Linked DNA regions of Schizosaccharomyces pombe. Changing the gene in region 1 together with any one later gene gives a genetic interaction. Each region holds a gene or a part of one and is shown in the gene's direction. Other genes may lie near its edges. The genes, in order: tim18, mug129, ure6 and SPOM_SPCC757.11C.

Region 1 (2,823 bases):
TTAGGACCCAAAATTGTACGTCCAAGAGGATGACCCTGATAAGCGGTAGCATGTAAATGATCAAAGACTACTTCATCGGCCATTTTGTCAACCTCTTCTTGCTCTCTTAAGATGACTTGGCGTTCACGCTCAACCGCCGAGGCAGAAATGCTTGAATTTGTCAGGATATCGGCCAAAACGGCAACTGCATTAGGTACAGCGTTTTTGAACGCATGTGCATAATAAACGGTTTGTTCACGAGAGGTGTATGCGTTCAAATGTGCACCAGTATTTTCAAATTCCAATTCCAATGCTTTTTGGGAGCGATTTTTCGTTCCTTTGAACGCCAAATGTTCCAAAAAGTGAGCAGCGCCATTATTTTTTGCCGTCTCAGCTCTTGAGCCAGCATCAACGCCCACAAGGACGGTCGCTGTTTGGGCATACGGATGATGTTCCGTAGCAACTGTAAGCCCATTTTTTAAAGTAGTGGTTTCTGTTTTTGGTAAAGCAGTAGTCGCAAAACGACGTACTAGCTTTGGCAAATTCTGAAGCCTCAGCATAGTAATATCAATTCAAGCTCCTTTGGTTGGGTGGGATTCTGTGGATGGTAAAGGGTAAGTAGGTAGCAAGAAGGTATTCCGTAGAGGTGTAGCGTAATACGTGTTATCGAGGTCCCAAGTTCGAATTTCGGCAAATGACCAATTGATCCCATTTAATAAAAAAAGAAAACTAGCAATCCTTGAATCCCTTACTAGAATTTCCATGTAGAGAAAAATAAGAAGTTGACCATTCAAACAGAAACTTTCGGATTGCCTAGTCTTTGCCCTGTGCGCAATTTGCTATAAAGGAAGGAAACGAATGACCGTACAATCCAGTTCATGATATAATATATCTCTACTTAACATGGAGAATCTCATTGGTAAAAAACTATGTAGGGGATATATTGTTTCATCGGTATATTGAAAAGAATCTATATGACATTGAATCAGACAGGGTAAGACACTTCATCAGGTTAAGTTCGTATTCATCTACATTAAAAGGTTATTTATACTTAACGAAATTCTCTTTTCCATGATTTCCATTACAATATTTCGGTTAATACATTTTTAAAAAAATAACAGTCCAACTATAGAATTTTGACTAGCACCGAATCAAGCATTGTTATACATCGACTATTGAGTAGCTTGATGGTTTCTTTTTATGAGAATAGTTTTTTATATAAATGATATTAATTTAAATAAAATTTTCATCCTCTTAAAACCGTTTCTCTAACCTTTTTTTAAGCCAATGCAGCACCTTTATATTAGCATAATTGCTACAAGTAAATTTCTATAGCTTTATCTATATTATATTATTAAGTAAAAAGATTTACAGTAGATTATTGTTTTTTCACAATGTAGTGCTTTCCGTAAAATTTTTTTTGAAACTGCAGTAACTTTTGGTACTGTGTAATATTATAATAGATATTCAAACTCACCACAAAACCCATGTAATATTATATGTAGAAGGTAATTCGTTTTCAGCAGTGAATAATATTATTATAAAAAGTAATAACCAGGTTTTGAAACGACCTTAAAGACCGGAGATTCTTCTGAATAAACTTATTAATCTATTATATCTATTTAAATTTCTAGTCTTTACTCTATGTTATACAATTTTTCGTTTATGAGTAGATAGATTTAGGTTCTCATCGCCTATTTCCGGCCACTCCAAGCTCAACACATCGAGCTGTTGAATGGCCAATAATGTGGACACAAGATCCGCCAATACGAACTCACCTACTACCACCACCAGCTTTTCTTGGTTTACAAACAATATGTTACAAACACGTTTAGGACTTGGAGCACTTCGTCAAGGACGTCTTCTTTTTGCAGTTAAATCTTTTAGCACAACCAGTGTTGCGAAAATTTTCCCTCCTCCCCCTCAGACCATTAAGGGAACTGTTAATGATGCTGCTGTTTTCCCTCACCACAGTAAGCTCCACGGAAGCTATCATTGGGACTTTGAAAGAATTATTGCTATTGCCATGGTTCCTCAAGTCATGATCCCTTTGTTCACCGGAACTTCTCATCCCTTAATGGACGCTGCATTGGCTTGCACCTTGATTACGCATGCCCACTTGGGGTTTGAATCTTGTGTGATTGACTACTTCCCTGCAAGAAGATTTAAGAAGTTATCTCCTTTGATGCACTGGATCTTACGTGGATGTACTGTTCTTACACTTATTGGCGTCTATGAGTTCAACACGAATGATATTGGCCTTACGGAGGGTATTAAAAAGCTTTGGAAATCTTAAGCTTCTTTCCATGCAAACCCATATAACCCCACTTATTTTTTCATAATGATTATTCCTTTCCTTTTTCTTTTTTATTCTCCTTAATCCGTCATCTAGTAAGTTTTGGGCTTGAAACTTACCAGTTCAAACCCCAAAACTGCCAATTGATATTCTGCAGTTGATCTTTGCTCTTTTCTTGATTTCTGGCTTGATTGATCCTCTCAATTTATCTGTGTAAATCTGTTTAGCGCTTGCACAGTATGTTTATGTTTACCTTCAACGATAATTTTTCTAGTGGGAGTGGTTAGAAGACTATTCAAGTTTGTGGCAGCTCTTGTTAAGGTCCTTATGTCGACTTGAATTAATAATTCTTCCAAGACAAAATCCATTGAATTATTTTATTGGGTGTCCCATTTATTATTTATCGTTTAGAATGGGTCAACAATTTACCCATGTACGCTTCGTTCCCTTATTCTTTGATAAGGTATTAGAAGACATGCTCTAACGTTTACCGTTTTAATCTCATTTATCGAATGTTGCGTTACAATTTTCGATATTTACATAACGTT
Region 2 (4,016 bases), on another chromosome or scaffold:
CGAAAATAGAAAGGAAGTAAAAGAGAAAGCATTAGAATATGTGGTATTATTTTGCTTGAAGAGCTTCCCATTGTGCCGGACTATAACATTTCTGCATTTAAAGTTAGTAACTGATTAAGAATAGTTGAAAGCATTTTTTTTTTTCAGATTCCTTCTTCTTTTTTCTATCTTATATGCCTGAAACTTAGAGTACGAACCTGAGTAAAGGCATGGATATCCTTGATCACCTCTTGAAGTTTGTGATTCACAAGACGGTGACGAGCTAGCGTGCTTTTCCCTTCAAACAGAGGGGAAACAATGATTACTTCGAAGTTCTGGCCACATCCTCCAGACATATCTTGGATCTCCTATATAAGTATCAGTAAAATGGTTTGCTTAAAGTAATGTGAAACCAAAAAATAAAAATAAAAATTTTGCTCAACGTACAATGTGGGTAGGTTCTAATGTATTTTGTATCAAAAGCTCAAGTTGTTGTGCATTTACCATGTTTTATAAACGTTGTCGATTGAAGTTATGTTATGGTTCTTTTCAAGATGTGTATTCGCTTTCAACCAACTAGGTGTTCTCCTGTCAAAATCTCTAAAACCCTTAAAAAGATGACAGAAGTCGAAGTAAGACATAGACATTAAGTATTATATATTAATTGAGTATATTAGGAAAGGATTAATGCTTGGAATGACGGGTTCGAAGAGCTTTTAAGTTATATCCCTGCAAAGCTCTACTATCGCGAGCATACAGCGGTATGTGAGATATTTGGAATAATTATGTTTAACTGTTCAATTTAGAATCAATGGAAACAGAAAAAATCTACGCTAGAGGAGAAGAAAGAACGCCGAAAAATGAAATTTAGCTTGGATGGTCTTGTTAACGATGCGGACGATGATAGTCAAAAATCTTCAAAGTGGGAACAGTCTTCGACTATGAGTGATGATACAGATGTTTCAGATCGTCATGCTGAAAGCATGTCACAGATCAGAGGTAAACTAGCATCAAAGATTCAGGATTTGCGTGAGAAGAGGAAAGCCGGTGACTTGAATCAAAAACGACAAAATAAGCGTCCTGTCGAGAATGAAAAGGATTCTCAAAAGGGATCAGGAAAAAGCAAGGTTCAAAAGAAGAAACACAAGGCATCTCCTCGTGCTGGTTTCTAAGCTTTGTTGCCTTAAAGAGTAAATTCATCAAAAGAGGCAAACCCTGACAAAAAACTAAAACGTTAATACAAAGGTTCTGGATAATAGAGGATTAAAAAAGTACTATTTTTTTGAGAAAATTATTTCTTTTGTCTTTCGCAAGTTGGTTAAAAAATTCAAGGATGGACGGATACGGTTGGGAGCGGGCTTTTATTTTATTGCAGTTCGATTTAGTATAATTCTTATTTAAATATTCTTTGGTCTTATTTTTTGTATCGTCCTACCATTGTTAACGTTAGTTTTGAGGCATCAAGGCAGCATACCTCACAGGTTTCCAATGCACGCATTGATGATTTCCTGCAAAAATGATTTTAAAGGACAAACGCGTAATATTATAGCCTTCTACTTATCTTTATAAGTGTAAATGTATGTTTCAGATTTTATTTCGCTTCTGCTGTTTATTTTTCCTTCACTAAGCAGTTTAACATATGAAAAGTTGGATTGCTTATTTAGTAAATCTTGTAACGTTTGATGAAGTGGATCGTCAAATGTATTCTTAGAGTTTACAAGAGCAACGCCTTGAGACGTCCCATGGTTTTTTGTTTGTATATGAAAGTTTTTGTTTTAGTATAAGAAGATACAAGCAAAATGAATTGAGCAGACAATTTGTTTCTAGTATTATCATTAGTGCTTCAATAGATGCTCTGTAGTCATACTCAATGTACTTACTATAGTATTTTAGTGTGTATGAGTTTATATATACTACTAGTATCATTTGACTTGACTCATCAGTAGTGCATCCTCAGTTTACTACGACTGCATGCACCGTCTATCATTTCAATATCGCATTATATCTCTTTCCTTTCCGCTGTTTATTCTTTTAATGTTTTTCATTAGGCAAGCTATTAATTATTAATTGATTTTAATTGTCAATACTGCTCACCTTGCTAACATAACCCGTCGTTTGTCATCATCAATAAAACCCTTACTACGGCAACCTCTGAGTATTAGATAGTTCTGTTTTTGTTTTTTATTTTTTTAATCTTTTTTTTATTGTTGATTTTTTATATCTCGCGCGGTCGTTTTGTTTTCCAATTTTAAACTTATCTGTCCAAATAATCAAACTTGTGATGCTATGGAGAATCCTAACTTGCTGCAAGAGCCCCGAAGAAGATAAGGATGAGCATAAGAAGAAACCTCCTAATGTAGGACATGCGCATTTAAGCGTTGTTTCACCATTGAACGAGCTAGCAAGTGAAAAATCAAGATCTAGCTTATGCATAGAGTGGACAATAGATTCTTTGCGACAGTTTGTACAGCAACTTTCAGTTAGACAGAATATGTCAAAAGATCGTCGAGAAGCTTTAACGTATTTTATTAACTCCTACAATGATTTATTTCATGATGTATACTATGGTGATGGTCGATCCATGTCGAAGACGGAGGAAGCACAGACCATAGTGACATTTACCATTGGTTCTTACTTGTACAAATACACCCATCCATCAGAACTGTTTTGGCAAAGGCTTAGTGACAATATGGCAAATATAGAAGATGATGGTACGTGTACGGAGGCTCAACTAGCTTTTCGAAAAAGGGCAGCTTTATCAAAACTTGGGCATCCCGCTTTCCATTTTTTACCAATGAATAATAAGGAGTCCTTTCACTATGCTTGGTCTTTATTCACTTCGACATATTTTCAAAAAGCTGCTACGGTTTCTCCTTCACCTAATCAGCAGCCAGTTGACAGTGTCGCCAATCCTCAATTACGAAAAGCCTCTGAAATTACGACTATATCATCACGCTCAGATGTTGATATTCTACTAGGGAAGTTCAAAGCATTAATACAAGAATCCCCCGATGAGCATTGTAATAGTTGGATTCAAAGAATATATATTACATGCGTTTTACCCAGAAATCACTACATTTATTTATTAAACGAGCAAGTTGATTTTTTAACATCAATAGAAATAATGAAAAATCAAGTTACCGAAGGGAAGCTTTGCCTGTTGAACGAAGATCTTGGCACTTTAAATTAATGTACTTCTCCTTCACGAAGTATCTTTTGACAATACTATTTGAAAAAACAATGTGGTTTTTTTTTCGAGTCTACAAACTAGACATCCTCTCGTTACTGCTTGTTTATACTATCTTTACATCATCGATGATTTTAAGCACCAAAAAAGTGCTCCTATTTAATTGTATGCTATTCAATTAGACATGGTTTAATAATTCAGAAAAGCCATTTTTTACAGCTGCGTGAAATTACATAATAAAAATATTTTACATTGTAAACGCGTTTTGTTCATCCTATCGATCAATGTACATTATCAGTATAGTATCACAACTTTTACCTATATTTATCCGCAATTTTGATCTAGTATTGACAACGATAAGTGGCAATCATAATAAAAATGCAAAAATGTACTAACTACACATTGCCTTTTACTACGAGAAGTTAAAGCACAAAGATTAAATGCAAGGGAGTAACAAAATCCATTAATACAAATAAGTCTTTAACGGTTACTCTTGGCAACACGCTCAAGCTCATCCTTCTTCTTGATGGCGTAAGAGTTGGAAGAGCCCTTAGCAGCATTGATGATTTCTTCAGCCAAGCATTCAGAAATGGACTTGACGTTACGGAAAGCAGCCTCACGAGCACCGATAGTGATAAGAGCAAGAGCTTGGTTGACACGACGAAGAGGAGAAACATCAACGGCTTGACGACGAACAGTACCAGCACTACCAATACGAGTGGAGTCTTCACGAGGACCACAGGCAGCAACGGCATCAACCAAAACTTGGAGAGGGTTTTGGTCGGTCAAGAGAGCAATGATCTCAAAAGCATGCTTGACAATGCGAGTGGCCAAGAGCTTCTTACCGTTG
Region 3 (3,709 bases), on another chromosome or scaffold:
CTGCCTTCTTGACAATTAATTGATTTCCGCGGCAAGCTTAGTCAGTCTATAATACGGTGTTGTGCATCAGAGATGTTATGGCATTGCGTCATGATCGACACCCTTCCTAATCCCTTTTTTCTCCGCCTTCGCTTCCCCACACTTGGAGTCACAAGGCTGAGTCGATGCTACCTGAAAAGATGGGGTAATGGCATGACGAAAAAGACTGCAGGAAGAGAGGGGTGGGTGAAAGAAAGGGATTCAAACGAGACATCAATAATGGATGGAAGAAATAAAAACATAAAAGAAAAAAGAAAAAAAAAAGAAAGAAAAAGTTAAAGAAGATGAAAATTTTTGTTTGTTTGTCTCAGAACTAAAGTTTTTTTTGCTCAATTTTCTGTTCAATTTCTTTGATTCGCATTTTGTTTTGTTCCACTTTTTCTTTTTTTTTTGTCTTTGTTCCACCATTGGTTTTCTTTATCCATCTCTGTCCATTGTTGGTAATCTTGCTTTATGATTATAGGAGTCCTTTGTTTTCTCTCTCTCTTTTTTTTTTTATTTCTTTGTATGAATTGCCTTTTTTTTGACTAGCGTTCTTTGTCATACATGTCATCTTGAAATAGATGGTTTTGATTGTTTCTTGTTTTCAATAACTTTTTTTTTTTTTTTTCTGCTCTCTTTCTCTTTTCATTTTTTTTTTGGTCAGCGTGAGATACTGGCTTTCATTGAGCTACAATAAATAGTTTTGACTTTTTATTTCTATTTCTATTTCTTCTTTATTTTCCTGCTGTCTTTCTCTTCTCGCATACACAAAAGAGACTCAAACATACACACACACATACTCGGAGAGTTTCTCTCTCTCTCTCTCTCTTTTTTTTAGAGTTTCCTTTTTGCTCACTTGTTTTTCTTTGATCGTCGTTCTTTACGACATCTTTGTATTATAACGAAAATAACCTTTATTTGGACTTTCTTTTTATTCACTGTGGATGAGCTCACTGTGTTGTTCCATGCACAAATTTGTCACTTTCCATGTGAATTTTTCGTGGGGTTGTTGTAAACATTCATGAATTCCTTCGTTTGCTTTTTTTTTAAACAATTTTTAATTTTTATTTACTGTTTCTAATGCTGACATTTATTTGCCTTTTTTATTTCATTGCAAAACATTATATATGTATTCATAGTAAAAACTGAAGTGAAAGTCTATTACAGTCATTTAAATAGATTAGCTCATCTGTATTAAAATTAATAAAAGCATTGCAATTTATATTATAAAGTATGCTTAAAGCATTGTCTCGTGAGAAAGTCCAGTAGGAATTACTTAATTGAGCAGCGCCTTTTCTACTTTACTTTGTATACTATATGTTATTGTTTTACAGTTATCAAAACTTGCTTTTCCTTTCCTGAAATAACTGAGGTCAGTAAATTTAATGCTTCCAAACATCTTCCTTTGTATCCTCTTTTCAGTACATTCATTTATGAAGAAAGTTGTAATTACTGCAGTAAAAGGTGTTTCCCAAATTACAATTCCCACACTCGTGCTTTATTTTGCTAATTCACTTAGCACTCATACTTAGAAATCGTTATTTTGAAAGTACCATTGTAGAACTTAATAACACCACTATAATGGACTATCTAAACGTTGTGTAATTTTTACATTCGTTCGTCCTATGTTCAGTAAAAAATCTTTGCATCATTGACTTGGAAAATGAAAAGCTCATCCATGCTTCTCTTCCCTTTCTCATAGACTCTTGTTTGCCCTTTCCATTATTTTTAAATGTTTATTTATTAAATAGTGATCACTAGTGAATGTCAATAATAAGGAGTTGCATGATTTTCATCCCTATATTGTTTCCAGTAACGATGGATTGATTGTATACTGCAGGTGCAGGATCTTTGATGATAAGAAGAAACTGGATCTGCATGAGTGCAAAAATTTTTCTCTGCTTAGTCCTTCATTTGACCATACACACGATTCATATTTAATATTTAACCACCTCTTGTCGTTCATTTTGCATTTTCTTTTCTACGATACCTTTTCTCGTATTTTACAAATTATCATCCAAATACCAGGCGGTTAAAAACCGTTTTCTCAACCTTTTGATGCTGTATAGACATACCAAAAAATAGCGTTCCATCATTTTTTATTCTTGTCGCACCGTTTCGTTGAGTTGTAGGCTCGATAATTACTGAGAGAATCGGGTTTAAAAGTTTACTTTCACAACTTCCTAAACTCCTCTTTTCTTCTCTTTTTTTGAATACTAAAAAGCGTTTTATATACTAGATATGCACACACATTTCGCAAAAGTAAACACCCAGGGATAGCTTTTTTTTCTATTCTCCAAAACACTTAGATCCAACCTTACTACTACTGATTATAGTTGGTGGTTTTTTGTTTTCACTTTCTAATTTCATTACAATCATGACTGATTCGCAAACGGAAACACACTTGTCGCTAATTCTTTCAGACACTGCGTTTCCTCTGTCATCTTTTTCTTATTCGTATGGGTTAGAGTCGTATTTGTCTCATCAGCAGGTGAGAGACGTCAATGCATTTTTCAACTTTTTACCATTGTCCCTCAATTCAGTGCTACATACCAATTTGCCAACTGTCAAAGCAGCTTGGGAGTCACCGCAACAATATTCCGAAATCGAAGACTTTTTTGAAAGCACACAGACATGCACAATTGCCCAAAAGGTCTCCACCATGCAGGGTAAATCTTTGTTAAATATTTGGACAAAATCACTCTCCTTTTTCGTTACATCAACCGATGTCTTCAAATACTTGGATGAGTACGAAAGAAGAGTTCGTAGTAAAAAGGCACTCGGTCATTTCCCAGTGGTTTGGGGTGTGGTATGTAGAGCCTTGGGATTATCGTTAGAAAGGACATGTTATCTGTTCTTATTGGGGCATGCAAAATCGATTTGCTCAGCAGCTGTTCGCTTAGATGTTTTGACCTCCTTCCAGTACGTTTCCACTTTGGCTCATCCTCAAACCGAAAGTTTACTTAGAGATTCGTCGCAACTAGCTTTGAACATGCAACTAGAGGACACTGCTCAGTCATGGTATACGCTGGACCTTTGGCAGGGTAGACACAGTTTGTTATATAGTAGAATATTTAATAGTTAACAATCATCAAAACTGGAAAATACGATTGCCATGTAGCGATTTACATCTGAAACCATTTGTAGAGATTGAAAAAATTGCTCTTGGAAGGGTGCTTCGAATACGTTTTCGGAAATTTTAGTAAACGTCGTCAAAATTTTTGCCAAACGAATACCTTCCTGAGGTATGCTAGGTAAATAAGTCAACATGTGTTCATTCAAAGCGATCAGCTCATTCTTCATAACGATCGATGCATCCATTTGGGTTGCAAAATCCTCTAGTTCCAAAACACGATATAGCAAATTTCCTGTAACTATGTACTGTTTCGGGATTTCAGCTAACAGTACCTCTTTGTTTCCGTCGATAGAAAACTGATAGTTGTTTACAAATACTTCGACCACACGAGTCGTCAATGCTTCAATCAATTTGCGGTCCACTATATCCGTCGGCGATACCCTAGTTCGAAGTGTTAGCACTAAAAAATTAAGATGAAAGATAAAACACATATATATTAACGCCAATCGGATTCAAACATTTACCGCCAACGCACTATCAACACATACTCTTCAAAAGTCAAAGTAACAGCTAATTGTACTTGTTGAATCAACTCATCAAGTTGGTTATTCA
Region 4 (4,606 bases), on another chromosome or scaffold:
AACAAACAAAAAAAACAAAAAACAAAAGAAGGCAACAAGGAAAGGCTCGTGTCGAAGAGGAAAATATGGGAAACAAAATCAAACGCCGGGCGATATATTCTCGGTTTGGCAAGTGGGAATGTAAATGCAAAAAAAAAAACGATTAAAAAAAGAAAAGGAAAAGTTAATCAATATGGTATGCGATGAGGAAATTATTTGACAAGTTGATTGAGCACACTCATACAAAACCAAAAAATGGGGAAACCAAGAAAAATAGAAATGAAATGCAAAATCAAAAAGACCAAAAATTTGGCACGCAAAAGAAACCAAAAAAACGAAACAAAAAAGATAGAAAAAGAAAAGTTATGAAGAACGGGTATCAAACCCTTTAGATATAGCCTACTAAAGGGAGGATATTAGAAAAATATGCAAAATGTTAGATGTGTAGAGGTTCAGTAGTGTAGCGAGGATCTTTTATTTATATGACTGCGAGCACGAATGTAAACAAATATCGCCATGGCAGCTAGGTAACAACCACGAGGCCGATCGCTGCTTCGGCGGATTTAGGCTGACGTAAGATGAGACTGTTTGTTACCGATAGCCCTTTTTCCAGATGCGCTCGCATTGGTTCTCAAGTGGGGCTTTGAATAAGCCACGTTTGGCGGCTGTAAATACACATAAAAAGGTGTAAGAACAAGCGTTAAACTTGTTTACCGATTATTAATAATAGGTCGATAAACAAAGATTTTAACTTTAGGAACGAGGACATGGGAAAGGGAAGAAGAGATGAGGAAACATTGCGATGTTCAGGAAAGGAAGATGAGGTCACTAGTAAATAAACAATAGAACAAGAATAATAAATAAATAAATATATGATTACAAAGTAATCACAAGCGCGGACTTGGTGAGTACAAAGCAAATTGTCATTCTATTCTATTTTGGCCTATAAATTCAAAAAAACAATATCTAGGTAGGATGTTTGAGCGTCGTATGAAACATTGCTGCAAAAACTTGATATGCTGAATAACGATATTTATGAGGCGCACAGACGATCCTCTTTCATAGCCACCTACGTGTGCAAGAGAAAAGGTTGTGGGCAGTGTGCACTAGGCGAAATATGCAAAACTTGGATTTTCATCATACATAGTACAATGTAAGAGAGATTGTAAAGCATGTTTGAGAACTCATTATGCCAAAAAACTAGTGTAACCAAGTATTGATTAGAAGGAACTGAGCAGGATGTTTAAGTTAAAAGAATCATAGTATTTGTAGGGGCTGGTGTACTGCAAGGAACCAATCTGCTATCTCACATAGCTTGTCTTTCAACATCGCCATTGTCAAGTTTCCTTCTTCATCCGTTGAATAACGCTTTATGCCCTATTCTCATTAAACGATTTACGATACATTTTTTCCATGCATACACTGGTTATCATAGACAGACGGATAGTAGCCAAAATGATCGACCCGAACAGTCATGAGTCTTTCCGTCCCGAACAGTCTGTAAATCTTCAAGTACTGAAGCGCATCCATATCTTGAGCAAACGCTTACTGCCAACGGACAAATAGACAGGTGATCTTGCCGGCTGGCCCTGAAAAAAAGCATAAAATATTCGACCGCTCAAATGGGCTTATCTGCCAAACACACTTTGCAAGACATTTCTATTCGATACTTATCATCATATCCTATCATAATTCTATTCTCCTTCTACCATCATGTCTACCGGTTTCTACGTTTGCATTTATCTTTGCGTTTTTGTACTTGCCATAACTGAATTGTACTATTTGCTCTCGCTGATTATTTCCTATTTATACAAGTAATTAATAATTTAAAAAAGAACAAATAAATAAACTGCCCACACCAGGAATCGAACCTGGGTCGCATCGGCCACAACGATGAGTCTTAACCACTGGACCATGTGAGCTAGTACAGTAGCCGTACAACTAATGACTGATATATGGTAAAATACTCCGCACTACGGAAAGCTTAATTAGGGAAGCACCGTGGATATCCTATTTTGGGAATTCTTATCCATTCTATACGATGATGAAAATTATCGGATATCATCAACTTAAAAAAATTGATCTCATATAAAATAAACGAGTCATGCTATTCTATTGAAATTCCACTTTCTTCCTTTACTCACACCAAAATATTTGAAAACAACAAAGAATTTCTCTTTGTTTTCTCGTTCCTTCTATACCTTATTCCACAGGCCAGTTTTCGTAGTAGAGCAGGTTTTTGAATGGATCCATTGAGTCTATATTATGGAGCAACAAAGTAATTTAGAAAAAGACCTCTCGGTCTCATCCTTTCTTGATGAAAAGGAAAAGTCGGGATACAAGCAATCTGTAAGATTAGTTTCCAATGACCCTTCTGCCTCACCGGCTGCTACGCATAAACCACCGTTCATCAGTGCGGCTTTGATGCTGTTAAATAACACAATTCTTTGCATTTCATTCACCATTGTCGTTCCTACGTCCGAGAGATTTGTCCAACATCTGGGGGGAGGAAATGGTTTGTCCGGTGTAATTATCGGATTGCCCACAATCACTGCCCTTGTGTTGCTGTATCCCATGTTGAGATTCTCGACTCCGAAAGCTGCCAAGGGATATACGATTTATAGAAGACCATATACAATGTCGTGTATAAGCTGCATTATTGGTCATATCATGTATGCACTCGCAGATAAAGCCAAAAGTGTGGCCTTGATTCTTGTGAGTCGTATTTTTACGGGTGTTGCGTGTACCATGTTTTTATACCACAAGCGCTATTTCACAGATAAAGCCTTGATCAGCATCAAATATAGAACGTCGATGGGTGTGGTCAACTCAGTCATGGCAACGCTTGGTTTGACAGCTGGTCCATTCATCGGAGGATTAATGGCCAAGTCTTCAATGAAGTCTCAAAGCGATATCTGGAATGAATATACTTCGGGTAACTGGCTAATGGCTTTCATTTGGGTAGGCTTGTTTTTGTTTGGCTTTGCTTGTTTCCGGGAGGTTTTGAGCCCGCAAACGGACGTAAAGGAAGAAGTAGTCGAAGAGAAGCATGTCATTAATGATGTCAAACAGGATACCAATTCAAAACTAGGATTTGTGGGGTGTCTTGTTATTTTCGTTGTCGCTTTCTCTGGCTTCTCTGCTTACTTTCTATTAAATGCATACCAAGCATCTGTTCCAATTTACACTTCTATGCTTTATAATTATTCATCCTTCCAAGCAGGTAACTTCCTTTCTTTGGCTGGAATTATCAACGTACCCTTGCTTTTAATATTTTCCTATTTGACGCGTTACTTGACTGACAGAGATATCATATTGTTGGGTTGTTGTTTAAACATCGTATGCATGGTTATTCATATAACTATTCACTATACAGGCAAGGAATTCGTACAACCTTACTTTATTATTTACACCCTTGTTTTTTTTGGATCTTCTATTGCTAATTCCCCTTCGGTCTCTTTATTGACAAAGGTTTTACATCCTAAGTACCACCTGATAGGTAACGTCGCTGTGCAAATATCAATTTCCTTATCCGACACAGTTGGTGCTATCTTTGGCGGTGCATTTCGCTCGTTCTCACCTGTTGTTTTTTTTGCGGTATGCTTAATATTAAACGTTATGTCTGTGCTTGCACTATTGATTATATGGAAGAAACTTAAGGTCAAGTTGCGCCTTGCATAATTCACTGGTAACTCAATGGTTAGGTTGCTCTCTATTTTTTTTTTTTTTTTTAATTTTTTTACAAGGGGGGGTTGATTTGTTGTTTATTTATAAATTTGTAAGTTGTGTTCCTTACAAATAAATCTAATACCAAATGGCTAATTAAATTGAAATAATGTTGCTAAATCTTTAATTATAATGAAATTAATTGATGAAATATACGTTAAAAGCCAAATGAGTTCGAATTTTTTATCTTAAATACTTTTTATTTTTTATCTATAGTGTGCCCATAGGTGCCTGCCCTTCAATTAACACATAGAGAGGTATGCCATTATGATCAATTAGACAAACAACCTATAAAAATCATCTACAGGAAAACATCAAAGGTACTTTCGTTAATAAAACATCTAAAAATTAAGAATATAATTATTGGTTCTTTTTTTCCTTCAAAGATGGAATGGCTCCCAGTTCTATAGCTAGCTGCTCATTTGACTGTAGAACAGGGTCATTTGTTGTCCATGTATATATTATTTGTCGAGTATGATTCTTTGAAGTTCGTACGGGTTGTGCAGATAGATAGCGGACATAAAGAAACGTATCTGCTACTAGAACCAAGATTGCTGAAAACGCACATAGCGCAATTTTCTAAATAATATTAAGTCAATACAAAGGTCTCCCAGGAACAAAACGAAAGTTTTTAATTCATACCTTTTCAATAGATAAAGATGAAGTGCAGTACCAAACAGCGGTCACCGTTCCTACTACTGTGAAGAGTATATTGATTATAGCGCTGATTTGGTTTTTCATTAGTCGTAACTCTGATTTTTTTTCTCTCTCAGGGTCCATGGATACGCCTGCCATTGATGGAAGCAGAGGAATACCATCATATAGCTCTTTCTCCTTTAAGATAGAAGTAGTTGTATTGTCTTGAGTATGGCTGTTTTCATCAATTTCGCCCAAGAAGACA

What was found.
Region 2: mutations in tim18 (region 1) and mug129 together harm fitness less than expected from each alone (positive genetic interaction), as found in Schizosaccharomyces pombe (one large-scale study listed by BioGRID).
Region 3: mutations in tim18 (region 1) and ure6 together harm fitness less than expected from each alone (positive genetic interaction), as found in Schizosaccharomyces pombe (one large-scale study listed by BioGRID).
Region 4: mutations in tim18 (region 1) and SPOM_SPCC757.11C together harm fitness more than expected from each alone (negative genetic interaction), as found in Schizosaccharomyces pombe (one large-scale study listed by BioGRID).

The regions. Positions count from the first base shown.
Region 1 is NC_003423.3:2,034,305-2,037,127, forward strand, and holds tim18 (TIM22 inner membrane protein import complex and succinate dehydrogenase (SDH) anchor subunit Tim18), read left to right. Parts: upstream 1-1,755; 5' UTR 1,756-1,795; coding exon 1,796-2,275; downstream 2,276-2,823. Other genes in the region: MPP complex beta subunit Qcr1, read right to left, coding at 1-539; SPOM_SPBC29A3.21 (uncharacterized protein), read left to right, coding at 2,788-2,823. UniProt on the Schizosaccharomyces pombe protein: Membrane-anchoring subunit of succinate dehydrogenase (SDH) that is involved in complex II of the mitochondrial electron transport chain and is responsible for transferring electrons from succinate to ubiquinone (coenzyme Q).
Region 2 is NC_003424.3:3,655,602-3,659,617, reverse strand, and holds mug129 (protein mug129), read left to right. Parts: upstream 1-1,942; 5' UTR 1,943-2,260; coding exon 2,261-3,169; 3' UTR 3,170-3,421; downstream 3,422-4,016. Other genes in the region: iron-sensor Fra2, read right to left, coding at 47-91, 198-347, 427-486; rrp14 (ribosome biogenesis protein Rrp14-N), read left to right, coding at 597-611, 657-740, 786-1,151; rps5 (40S ribosomal protein uS7), read right to left, coding at 3,647-4,016. UniProt on the Schizosaccharomyces pombe protein: Has a role in meiosis.
Region 3 is NC_003424.3:5,120,270-5,123,978, reverse strand, and holds ure6 (urease accessory protein ure6), read left to right. Parts: upstream 1-1,880; 5' UTR 1,881-2,398; coding exon 2,399-3,106; downstream 3,107-3,709. Other genes in the region: pex3 (peroxin-3 peroxisome import protein), read right to left, coding at 3,103-3,538, 3,646-3,709.
Region 4 is NC_003421.2:68,695-73,300, reverse strand, and holds SPOM_SPCC757.11C (transporter), read left to right. Parts: upstream 1-2,032; 5' UTR 2,033-2,244; coding exon 2,245-3,660; 3' UTR 3,661-4,065; downstream 4,066-4,606. Other genes in the region: vph2 (V-ATPase assembly protein), read right to left, coding at 4,066-4,284, 4,348-4,606.